Linked DNA regions of Drosophila melanogaster. Changing the gene in region 1 together with any one later gene gives a genetic interaction. Each region holds a gene or a part of one and is shown on either strand. Other genes may lie near its edges. The genes, in order: Tbcd and Tbce.

Region 1 (6,478 bases):
CGGAGTCAAAATGGTTAAATTATTGGACAATACAAATCAATATTTTACAAGCAATTCAGCGTGTGGATAATGGTCTTATGATAGGCATTTTGCCAAACAACTACTCATGTATGAGTAGGGTTTCATCTAAGACTTGTAACAATATGAAAGGAATACTCCTTAGAGAATTATTGGTGAATGTAAAATCGTAAAAATTTGGTATGAAGTCTTCATAGCAGAGGCTCATTCTCTATCTTGACATCGCACTCAACCATGGAGCTGTCGACATAGTCAAACGAAGTTGGTGTTTTTCGGCTACTGATTTGGTAGCTGGAATTGGATAGATGGTACTGGGATTTCTCCAGCTGAGTGGCAAAACTGGAATTCGGGGCTGGTGTTAGTTTGGGCATGCTGCGCTCTAGAACGTCTTCGGGTCCCGCCGCCGCGAGCATGTGCTGATCCTCCTCCCTGAGTTCCACCAGAACGCGCGCCATCTCCATTCGAAACTTAAGATTGCTAATGGCTGACAGAGACTTTACGTGCGGCATCATGCTCATCAAGAAACTCAAGTCCGAATCGTTCTTTAGATCGGGTTCAGTGGTAGACTTTGACGCCTGGCTGGCGTATCCATTCAATAAGGGGACATCGTTAGACGGCGAAGTTTTCCTCCGACGTCCTCTCTTCGAAGGCGGGGGTGGACGTGGCAGGAATTGTTGGTGGCGCGGCAAGTGTATGGGCAATGTGGGCGATAGATCCTGATCGGAACGATGGGCGCCCGAGGATGAAGAATCCAAAGGCTTGATCAGCGAGCCTTTATCCGAGCCAGAGTCCTGGGGCACTGACGGCTCCCGCTTAAATATGTCCTCGATGATTTCAAAGTCAACAGAGTCATCATTGTCCAAATCCAAATCGATAGCGAAGTCAACCAGTCGGGTGGGCTCGAAGACTTCCGGCTGCTCGGTGTTCATCACGAAGGGCTCTGGTGGAAAGGGCACCAGGCCCTCCGGATCGAAGATTTGGCGCATGAACTCCAGTGAGCGAAAGTATGGCCAGTGGGACATCTCGATTCGTTTCTGCTGTATCTTGCGCACCTCTGCCCGGTAGCTGTCCCGCATTCCCTTGAAACGTTTCTTGCAGATCGAGACTGCAAAATGACCAGGTGTTATTTATAGGTTTCCTAGGCATATAAAACCCTCCTCGTTTATCCGCCACTCACCATCCTGCTGCATTATCTGCGCGACACTCGCCCACTGGAGAGCTGCGTCCTGGTTGCGGTACGAAATGGACATGTTTGTGTCCCACAGGCACCGCCGCTTGGACACCTCCTGTATGAGACGGTAGTTATCTGATTTCATGGCGCAGTGGACCAGAAATTGCGGTTTGTCCACAAATGCAATGCTCCGAAACTTGCGGATCCCGAATTTTCAACGCAATTTTCACAGCAATGACCGCGCTCACAGCAAACTCGACGAATGTGTGAGCGGTTTCGACCCGACGGTAACACTTTTAATATCCCAAATTCGGGCTTGCTTTGCTGCGTTTTGGTGGAATATACAAAATCTTGCTCTTGCTAAATCTCGCAGTTTCGCTTGCCACTACAAATAAATGATTAATTGCGCCTGGCAGCTCTGGTCGAACAGCTGCTTAACGGTATTACCAGGTGCATGCAAAACGGCCACACCAAAGGCACTATGACACTAGATGAACTTATTTAGTAGGATTTATTACAAACGTTTAAAGAGCACAATGTACAATAACTGCATTTGATTCCAAAAAAAAATGTTAGTTTAAAGATAAAGAATTAGATAAAGACCCTTTTGGTCGAAAAACAGTAAGAAAGAGACGAGTCAGTTCGTGGTGTCATACCAGCATACTTTCATTGGGGTTGCAACCCTGGCAGTAAAACAAATGATTCACAAACGAATTGATTTTGTTGCCGGCTGTGGGTTTAAAACTCGATAAAATCGTCAAGCAGCCATGTCGAATTCTGTGGAAGAGTGCAAGGATGAGGACCTGCCGGCAAACACGCTGGAGCACTTCACCGAACTGCAGCAGGTGCTGGAGATGATCGACAACATCAAATCCATTGCCGCTAACACCTTCGAAAGGGAGTTCGAGCAGTACGCCCAGGTTTTGTCTAGATATCAGGAGCAGCCACACCTCTTGGATCCACATTTGGAGGAGTTACTCGGCAAACTGCTCCACAAGATTCGGAAGCCAGATCTAGACACTGGAGAGCTTCATGCAGCCTTCAAGTATCTCTACATCATCTGCAAAGTGCGCACCTATAAGGTCCTGGTAAAGTTTATGCCACACGAACTGAGCGATCTGGAGTTTGTTCTGGATTTGCTGGGTCAGCAAAATCCCAAGGAGTTCGAACAGTGGGAAACGCGCTATATACTGCTCCTGTGGATGTCTATCCTGGTCCTAAATCCCTTTCACATGTCGAGACTAGATGCCTATGACACCTCCACATCTGCTCCCACCACCAATTGCAGTCCCGTGAACCATGTTCAGTCGAAGAACACCAAGATGGATCGCATCTTCGAGCTCATCCAGCTTTATGTGTCCTCCAACGACACATGCAGCAGCATGGCTGCTTTCCTGGCCGCCAAGTATTTCATTCGCAGTGACATCAAGGATCTATATCTGGAGCGCTTCCTGGACTGGATTATGGAGCAGCACCAAGCGGACACGTTGAACGTCAAGTTCGGCCAACTGGCTGCAGTGGCTGCTATTTTAAAGCACGGAAAGCGAGAAGATCTTCTGCCCTATGCGGACAAACTTCTTCAGTGGATCACTTCCTGTCAGTACAAGGATGACAACGACTTTCTCAAGTACAAGAACTATGTAAAAATCATCCAGAGAATTGGATTGGTTCATTTGAAGCCACGCATTGCCAGCTGGCGGTATAAAAGAGGTAAGCCTGGGGTTTGTTATTCACGCATGAAACCATAATAAACTAGTGTTTTCTTAGGCACTCGTTCACTGGCCACCAATCTAAACCAGACAACTGCGGCAGGAGGTGAACCAGTTGTTTTGGAGCAATCCCTGGAGGAAGGCGAGGAAATAGTGGTCCCCGATGCCATAGAAGAGGTGATTGAGGAGCTGCTCCAGGCACTGCGAAGCGGAGGAAACGATATACGCTGGAGCGCCGCCAAAGGATTAGGCAGAGTCACCAATCGCCTTCCCAAGGAGCTGGCCGATGAGGTTATAGGGTCTGTGATTGATATACTCAACCCGCTGGAACCCCACGAGGCCTGGCATGGTGCATGCCTGGCTTTGGCAGAACTGGCAAAAAGGGGATTGCTGCTGCCACATCGATTGGAGGAGCTAGTACCCCTCCTTATGCAGGCGCTCTTCTACGACGAGATGAAGGGCTACATGTCGGTGGGGCAACACATCCGAGATTCAGCCTGCTACATGTGCTGGGCATTTGCCAGGGCTTACAATCCGGATGATGTGAAGCCATTTGTGCACAAAATCTCATCTGGCCTGCTGACCGTTGCAGTGTTCGACCGCGAGGTGAACTGCAGGCGGGCTGCCTCGGCAGCTTTTCAGGAAAGTGTGGGACGCCTGGGCAACTTTCCCTTCGGAATCGAAATCTCCACCACGACGGACTTCTATTCCGTGGGCATCAGGCAGAATTCCTATCTAAACATCAGTGACTACATTGCACAGTTTGAGGTGTACAGGGAACCATTGATTAACCATCTAGTTCAGCATAAGGTAAGCCATTGGGATTCGGCTATAAGGGAGCTGACAGCCAAAGCCCTGCACAAACTATCCCTTTGGGAGCCCGAGTACATGGCCGCTGTGGTGCTGCCGCAACTGCTGGCAAAAACTGACACCATCGATATTAACTGCCGGCATGGTTGTGTCTTAGCCATGGGAGAAATAACACTGACCCTACGGAAACTAGAGGAAAAGAGTGATCCCCAAGTGGTTTACCTCTCCAACCAACGGGTTGCGGAGCTGAATGAACTAATAATAACGTTCCTAGACAAAAATTTCTATCGCGGAATGAGCGGCGACCTGATGAAATCTTGCACCAGCAGCTACATAAAGAACTGCAGTCTGGCCAAGTTGCAGGCTACGCCGGAGTGCTTGGGTAGGAAAAGAGTCCCTAAAGTATAACAAGCATATTATTTAATTGCGTTTATTCGTTTCAGTTTCCTGGCAGAAAGTCATCGATTCCTGTTTGATCACCAAATCAAACGCTATTCGGGATGGTGCGGTGGAAGCGTTCGGTGAACTCTGTACCACTTATTACTGCTCAGATTCCAGGCACGGGGAAAACGAAGCCATAATCAACACTTATCTAACAGGTGCAGATAACGATTTGGAGGAGCACATTCGCATGGGCTACATTGCTGCTCTGGGTGTGCTCCCATCCTTTATGATCCGCTGTCATCTGCAGGCTATATTGGACAGTCTGGTGAAGCACTCCCTAACTCCACTGCAAGCAGTTCTGGTGGGTGAAATGGGTGACCGCGAGAACATCCAGGCATACAGGTGGAGCGAGGCACGGACACAGAGCGTGCTGGCCTTGACCAAGTTGGTGAAGACCGTGGGATATGGAGGGGGAATTGGTGAGTCAATGATCTTAGTTGTGGGCTAAGAATGTGAACAAATCTTAGTATACAATTATTTTTTCAGACTCATTTGCTGAGCCGAAAAACTTTAACAAGGTTATCGAATGCCTGTTAAGAGCTCTTCAAGAGTACACCCTGGACAACCGTGGTGACATCGGAGCGTGGGTGAGGGAGGCGGCTATGTCATCGCTATACGAAATCGTCACTACGTGTCCGCCTGATCTCCTCGCCCCAGAGCAAGTGCATGAGATTGTCGTGGGCTTTATGCAACAGGCGGTGGAGAAGATCGATCGCACTCGTGGATTAGGTGGTCGCCTTTGCTGCCAACTGATCCATCATCAGCCGAGGATCCCCTACATACGGGAGCACTCAAAACTCTTGGAAATATTTCCCGCGGATGCGGATTCCGTACTTTGGTTATTTGCCGATCACACATTCCCGCTGTTCTGCGAGCTGCTCTCTCTGCCGGATTACTCTAAAAGAGTTCTTTTGGGTCTGAGTGCCAGCATTGGTCAACTGACTGAATCTCTTGTAAGTTGTATAGACCACCTCTATATCAATCTCTAAAATATTCTTCCTGCAGATCAAGTATGCCTCCAGTGCCTTATTCCACTTCTTGCGTTCCAATCCTGAGACTGTTCCGCGTCTCTGCTCCGAGGTGGTCCAGATTTTCGAGGAGCATCTACTAAACGAGCGCGTGACCTATCCTCTGCTCAGTTTCCTGGATATACTCATTGGCTCCGGAACTGTAGAATCGGTTCTACACGATGAAGCAAATCCCTTTGCAGAGGATATCTTTAGGCTGCTCAACCTGGAGGTTAAGGGCTACAAGAAGCTGTACAAGACTGCGACCAGCATCAGTGCTTTTTGCCAGTTGCTCCAGGTTCCTCGCCTGTCTAAACGCATCCTCTCCAAGCTCTCAGTATTTCTTGGACTGCAGCACGTCCACGTTCGCAAAACCGCTGCCACAAAATTGTACGAAGCGTTGGCTCTGCACGGCGATGTCACCGAAGTGCCCGAGGAGAATATGGATGAGATCCTAACACTGCTCTCCGAAACGGACTGGACCCAGCCGCTGGTGGAGGTGCGTCCGCTGCGGAACCAGTTGTGCCAACTAATGGACATCAAGCCTCCCGTAAGTGGAGCAGCTGCTGCAGCCGCTTTGCAGCAAGCGAGTGCTGATAAATGAATGTTCCCACATGTATTTAATATATATTAATGCACAATTGTACTGACAACATACATAAGTGGTATTCATAAGAATTTTTATTCTTTATTTTGGAAGCACATCTTTATTTTAACATGTTTTTTAATATTTATCGTTTTCAAAACAAAGAGCTTGTAAGTTCGATTTTAAAATTTCACTTGCTCAAAATAAATTAAATATTGTTCAACATTTCAAAAACCAACGAACACTTTTTGATAAAAAGTGGCTATTTTCAAGCCAAATAATTTCGAATAGGCGCTGGGCCATTTCCCATTTCATTGCGACGGTCACACTGCGACAGAGACAGAAAAAAACAAGACAGGCGAGGGAATGAAAAATAAATATAAATTAAACGCGGACTACCCAAAAGCAAGGAGGGATAAAGGAGTCGAGATCAATTAAACACCGCCGGACTTCACACGGAGAAATTTGTCATAGAAATTGGTTTTTTTGTAAATAAAACACGAACTCGCAAAACACACGTTTCTTTCGCCGCACAACGTTGTTACGTTACACAATTGTGGATTGTGGTGTCACCTACTCCGCAGCCAGTGCAAATCACGATGAGTATTTGGGGGGTCCGATGTCTGACGCAGAGGTTCATCCGGCAGGCGTACATCCTGGCCAACAGAAGGCTATTGGGTCCAGTGCCGCAGCGCTCGCCGCCGGCATACGGTAAGTGAGGTTATGGCCGGCT
Region 2 (5,229 bases), on another chromosome or scaffold:
GTTCTCACTGAGCGACTGTCTGCAAGCGACTGGGACTTAGCGCGGCTGCCGCACATTGTCCTTGGTCGAGCTTTCACTTTCTTCCTCTCGGCGCACGCGCTCTCGGCCTTTTTCTCTTTGCTAAATTGGGCGCCAAAAATGATTGTACCGGCTGCATTGAGTCGAGGGGGGCAATTTCTGATATTCATAAGCGAAGCACTTGTATGTATATGAAAATGTGTACATACATCTGCGGATGTGGATTTCCACTGCAACCGCCCGTCGTCAATCGCAAATTGGATTAGCAGTGGACGACGGTTAGGGGGGCGACTGACCCAGAAAAGATGATAATGCGGTGCCGGCAAGAAATAATACTTGTTAAACTTACTACATATATATCATTGACAGAAACACCCTGACTATCTTTTTATCTCTGATTATCTTTTTTTTTTCAAAAATTAGCTCACTACAATCCACTCTTTTTCAGTATATACGAATGATATTACCGTGCACTACAAGAATGCAAGCCCAACTGCAATTAACAGTAATTGGCGTAGCCATTCAGCAGCATTGCAAAACTACAGAAAGGGACCAAAAATGTAGATTTGAACAATTTTAAACTGGCTGGATATTGACTCGCATCAGTAATATAAAATTCTCCATAAAAATGCACCTCAGTTTTCAATGATAAAATAGAATGTAATGATAGATAGAATGTAAATGATAGAATGATGCGTTTTCGACCTTATAAAGTATTTTCCTTCAGGATCACTAGCCAAGTCGATTTGGCCGGACGGACGGACATGTCCCGATGAACGTCGAGATCTCAGGAACTAAACAAGCTAGAACGTTAAGAATAAGCATGCTGAAACGCAGGTACTGATGTAGCCACGCCCACAACCTGCGAAAAACTGTCACACCCACACTTAAAAATTTGTTTTTCAATTTCTATCGATATGCCAAAAAATGTTTCAATTTCTCGTTAGTAATTCCACTAGCTGGAGTATCTGATAGTCAACGAACTCGACTATAGCGATCTCTCTTGTTTTTATTTACTTGCGCACCGGCCATACATTGGTTTTACATTATCCACCACTTTTTTGGTGGCCGCAAATTAAACCGAATAGGATTATATTTTTAGATTATCATTGGGAATGAGTTAGAATTAATTTAATAACAATCTAATAGTAAAATTTACTGGAGCAAATGAATGTAAATATGATTGCGAAAAATTAACGACACTGATCAAATATAATTCTGCTGCAAAGTGCTCAAGTGCATAATAAACATTTGCAGGACACTCTAGGAAGTCGACAAAAACAATACATATATATATGGGGATATACTGTCCGCTTGCTTAAAAATGTCTTTCATGGCTCCATATTTCAGATCTTAAACACCGCACTTGAAAACACCGAATTTAAATTATCTCAAAATCAAAGAATCCAAATTAACATTACAATTAAAATACGGCGGGTTGCTAATGAAATTATGTATTTTTTTTTTCTAAAATTATTAAAATTAGAGAATATCTCGAACTCAATTTGATAAAATATTTACTAAAATAAGTAGCTACGAAGGGGCATTAGTGGTAAACACATTAACAAGCTGTTAGCTTAGTACAACATTTGAATTTGAAAATGGCGCACTATCAGAATGACTATCGATGTATGCATTACCACGAAAGTTACTGCACTACATGTAGAAAATACAATCTCCTTGAAAATCCCAAATAAATAATAATCTCATAAATAGTTTATAAATTACAAGACTTTTTATGAAACTCGCATTTTAGAACATCTATGAATCGGGTATTGATTTTGGCTTCCTATTTTATATATATTTTCATGTAGCTTTTAAACAGTCGTATATAAATAGATCTGTCAAAACAATGAAGAAACATGTTAATATTAAAGGCCCCAAGATACAAAAAATTCGCAATTCCTCAATCAATCGCTGCGAACTCACTTGCGCGCAAAGCTGTTCAATAATGTTTTATTCATAAAGTCTTGCTGAAATTCTCTGTAGCAAATATCATTTAGCTAGATTTCAATCTTTTGTATTTTTCAAAAAAGTCATTTAGAATGTGACACAAAACAGTTTCGGTTCATGAAATAGGACTTATCAGCGACTTTGACATATTTAATTGTTATTAATGGCTAATATTACATACCTTTAACAAGAACGTAGATCGAACTTGATATAATCGTCTGATTGACTGAGATGGCATTGGAAAAGTAAAAAAAACCAGGAAGCAATTTAAGGTATCATTTTTTAAAAAAAAAGTTGTTACCCTACGTTGGACGTAACGAATCCTTACGTTTTGCTCATTTAACGCCCCTCGAAGTGTGACCAGTCCGCGTAATGAATAGGTATTTCATTGATATCTGCTTACAGCCACATTTGACTAAACACTAAATATAAATAATAGTTTGTGACTCAGAATTTAGGCTTCAGGAGCTACGCAAAGCTTTATTTCCTCTTCATCAAAGCTGTAATGTTGATGTAAATCCAGGAGAAATCGTTTACAGCTATATCTGAACACATTCTGGGAGCAGCTGCGAATAAGCAGACAAAGGTGTGAACGAGTGTGTAACAGCCGTGTATACTTGTGTGGGCGCCGAGGAAACTACAAACAAGAGCCAAAGCGATGGTGGGAATTATCGATGAGGTGCAGCTTTTTTATCCCCTAGGAACCCGCATCAAAATTGGGGACAACTACGGCACAGTGCGTTATGTGGGAGAGGTGAGCCGTTGGCTGGTTTGGCTTCCGCAGGCATAAGACTTAATCCCAACCTGCTATCCGTATTTTTAGGTGAGCGGCCATATGGGTAGCTGGCTGGGAATAGAATGGGACGACGGACTGCGTGGCAAACACAACGGCATCGTGGACGGCAAGCGCTACTTTCAGACGCAGACACCCACGGGAGGCAGCTTCATCCGACCGGGAAAGGTAGGGCCGTGTGCCACCCTGGAGGACGCTGCTCGGGAGCGGTACCTAAACTACGACTCGAGCAACGTCGACGAGTCTCTTATCCGGGAAGCTCAGGCCAGCCTGCAGGCGTCGCTTTTTGAAGTCGTGGGCATGGACAAGATCGCTCGCAAGCAAAGCAAGTTCGAGCAACTGGAGGAGGTGAGTGTAGACCAGACGCCGGTAAACGCTGCCGGTTACCTGAAGGAGTTGACACACCTCACAACGTTGAACGTAAGCCATACCTTAATCTGGAATTGGGAGATCGTGGCCAGCATAGCGCAACAGCTACCCTCCTTAACCAACCTGAACCTGAGGTAAGTAAAAATAAGTAAAATGTGCCACTTTAATTGCCAAACCTTTTAGCTCCAACCGATTGGTCCTGCCCACGTCATCCCAAATCACTGAGCTTGAGCCCTCATTTCGGCAGCTCAAACGCATCAACCTTCGCAGTTGTGGCTTTTCCGACTGGAAGGATGTAATGCACACAGCGCTTCTCTGGCCAAATATTTTGTCACTGGGCTTACAGGAGAATTCACTCGGCCAGCTAGCAGAAGTCGATCGAACAAAGATATTTAAGCAGCTACATGAACTCGACTTACACCGCACGAACATTATGGATTTTGACCAGGTGACAAAGTTGGGCAACCTCACGACTTTGCGCTTACTGAATATCATGGAGAATGGTATCGAGGAGATAAAACTTCCCGACTGTGATTCACAAGAAAAGCTTAATATTTTTGTCTCGCTGGAGCAGCTGAACCTGCTTCACAATCCCATTTGGAATGAGGTAGGGCAGCGTTTTTTTGGCACTAAAAAATTTACTGTCATAATGTTATCCTCGCAGGCTGATGCGTTTAACGAGCTGGACAAGCTGCCACAGCTGAAACGCCTGAGTAAGACTCCGCACTTAAAGTCAAACTTTGATGAAATGTTCTCCAAAGCTGTAGCTAGCATAGCCAGCCTGCAGTTCATTAATAAAGCCGAGGTGACAGCGGAACAGAGACGTGGAGCCGAGTACGATATTTGGAAAAAGTATGCTCTAGATTGGATGCAGGCGACGCAAGGGGGGACAGATTCCTTACGGGAGTTTTGCCGAAGACATCGCACCTACCCCCTGCTGGTTAAAAGTAAGCTACTATCTGCCTTGGACATTCCAAAATTATTTAATATATATGTTTACAGAGTACGGTTCCCCGGCAGACTTTGTACCGCGTAGTCAAGCGAAGCAGTCGAATTTGATTAATGTTTCCATAAGACATCAGCTGACGGGCGAAACCTGGGAGAAGAAAGTCCCGCGAATGATTACTGTGCAGACGCTGCAGGGATTGGTTATGAAGCGATTCCGGTTAAGCGGTGACGTCCCGCAGCTTTGCTACGTTGATGCGTTGCATCCGGATCTTGTGGTACCATTGGATAACAATGCTAAAACACTGGACTTTTATTCTGTACAGGAGCATGATACAGTTTTGGTTCAATAGCGGCCAGTATAATAGCACGGACTTTGCACCATTCTCCGTATTTAGATGTATTACAGTTTTAGACAAATGAAAATCAAAAATTCTTGTTCGATTTTACTTCTGTCTCCCTCTGTTTTAAAGTGCAAATGTTATGTTAAGGTACTAATAAGTTGAACATTTCACTAAGCAATTCCACTCAGATATTTATACTGTTTTGCTTTTCAAAAAAGAAAACACGTTATTTAACCAGATAATTAAAAAAGCTTTTTTGCTATTATTGTGGGACATAACGATGTTATCAGCTGTATTAAAGTTGAAGTAAATGTGTATTGGATTGGAAATCAACAAAAATACCGGCCGACGGCCATGGCAAGTTCGACAAGCGAAGCTACTGATCCTTGTCGAGAACATATATATTTTAATATCTTAAAAGCGGCGGGCGCAGAAACGTTATCTTTTCAATTTATGAAGCCATGCTAATAATGTGGGACATTTTTCTTTAGCGACCTCAACAGTCCGATAACTTCCTTACTCGTATAGTAAAAGGTAACTATAATTGTAGAGAAGCGCAACCTTGTTGTCGAACAGTTGCTCCTACTAGTTGAGCAACAGGTAGCTAGTTTTCTCTGATGTTTATTACTTTCCTCTGGATTCTATAATCAGCAATAATTTATGAAGAATGTAAATTCAACAGCAATTCTCAGTTTCCAAAAATATTTTCCCTAATGTAATAAATCGCTAAAATTTGCATAATTCGGCTCCAGCAACTGTCGCCTGGCATTATCATTAATAGAGTCGGACTTAATTGTTGACAAAGTT

What was found.
Region 2: of Tbcd (region 1) and Tbce, changing one enhances a phenotype caused by changing the other (phenotypic enhancement), as found in Drosophila melanogaster (one study listed by BioGRID).

The regions. Positions count from the first base shown.
Region 1 is NT_033779.5:2,145,691-2,152,168, forward strand, and holds Tbcd (Tubulin-binding cofactor D), read left to right. Parts: upstream 1-1,827; 5' UTR 1,828-1,956; coding exon 1,957-2,899; intron 2,900-2,956; coding exon 2,957-4,090; intron 4,091-4,151; coding exon 4,152-4,571; intron 4,572-4,638; coding exon 4,639-5,105; intron 5,106-5,157; coding exon 5,158-5,763; 3' UTR 5,764-5,974; downstream 5,975-6,478. Other genes in the region: CG11723 (uncharacterized protein), read right to left, coding at 210-1,123, 1,196-1,334; AIF (apoptosis inducing factor), read left to right, coding at 6,345-6,456.
Region 2 is NT_033778.4:6,040,299-6,045,527, forward strand, and holds Tbce (Tubulin-binding cofactor E), read left to right. Parts: upstream 1-2,233; 5' UTR 2,234-2,351; intron 2,352-2,356; exon of another isoform or gene 2,357-2,410; 5' UTR 2,411-2,629; coding exon 2,630-2,725; intron 2,726-2,794; coding exon 2,795-3,267; intron 3,268-3,316; coding exon 3,317-3,740; intron 3,741-3,797; coding exon 3,798-4,080; intron 4,081-4,135; coding exon 4,136-4,431; 3' UTR 4,432-4,666; downstream 4,667-5,229. UniProt on the Drosophila melanogaster protein: Tubulin-folding protein which is required for the development of the neuronal microtubule network. Essential for the development and function of neuromuscular synapses.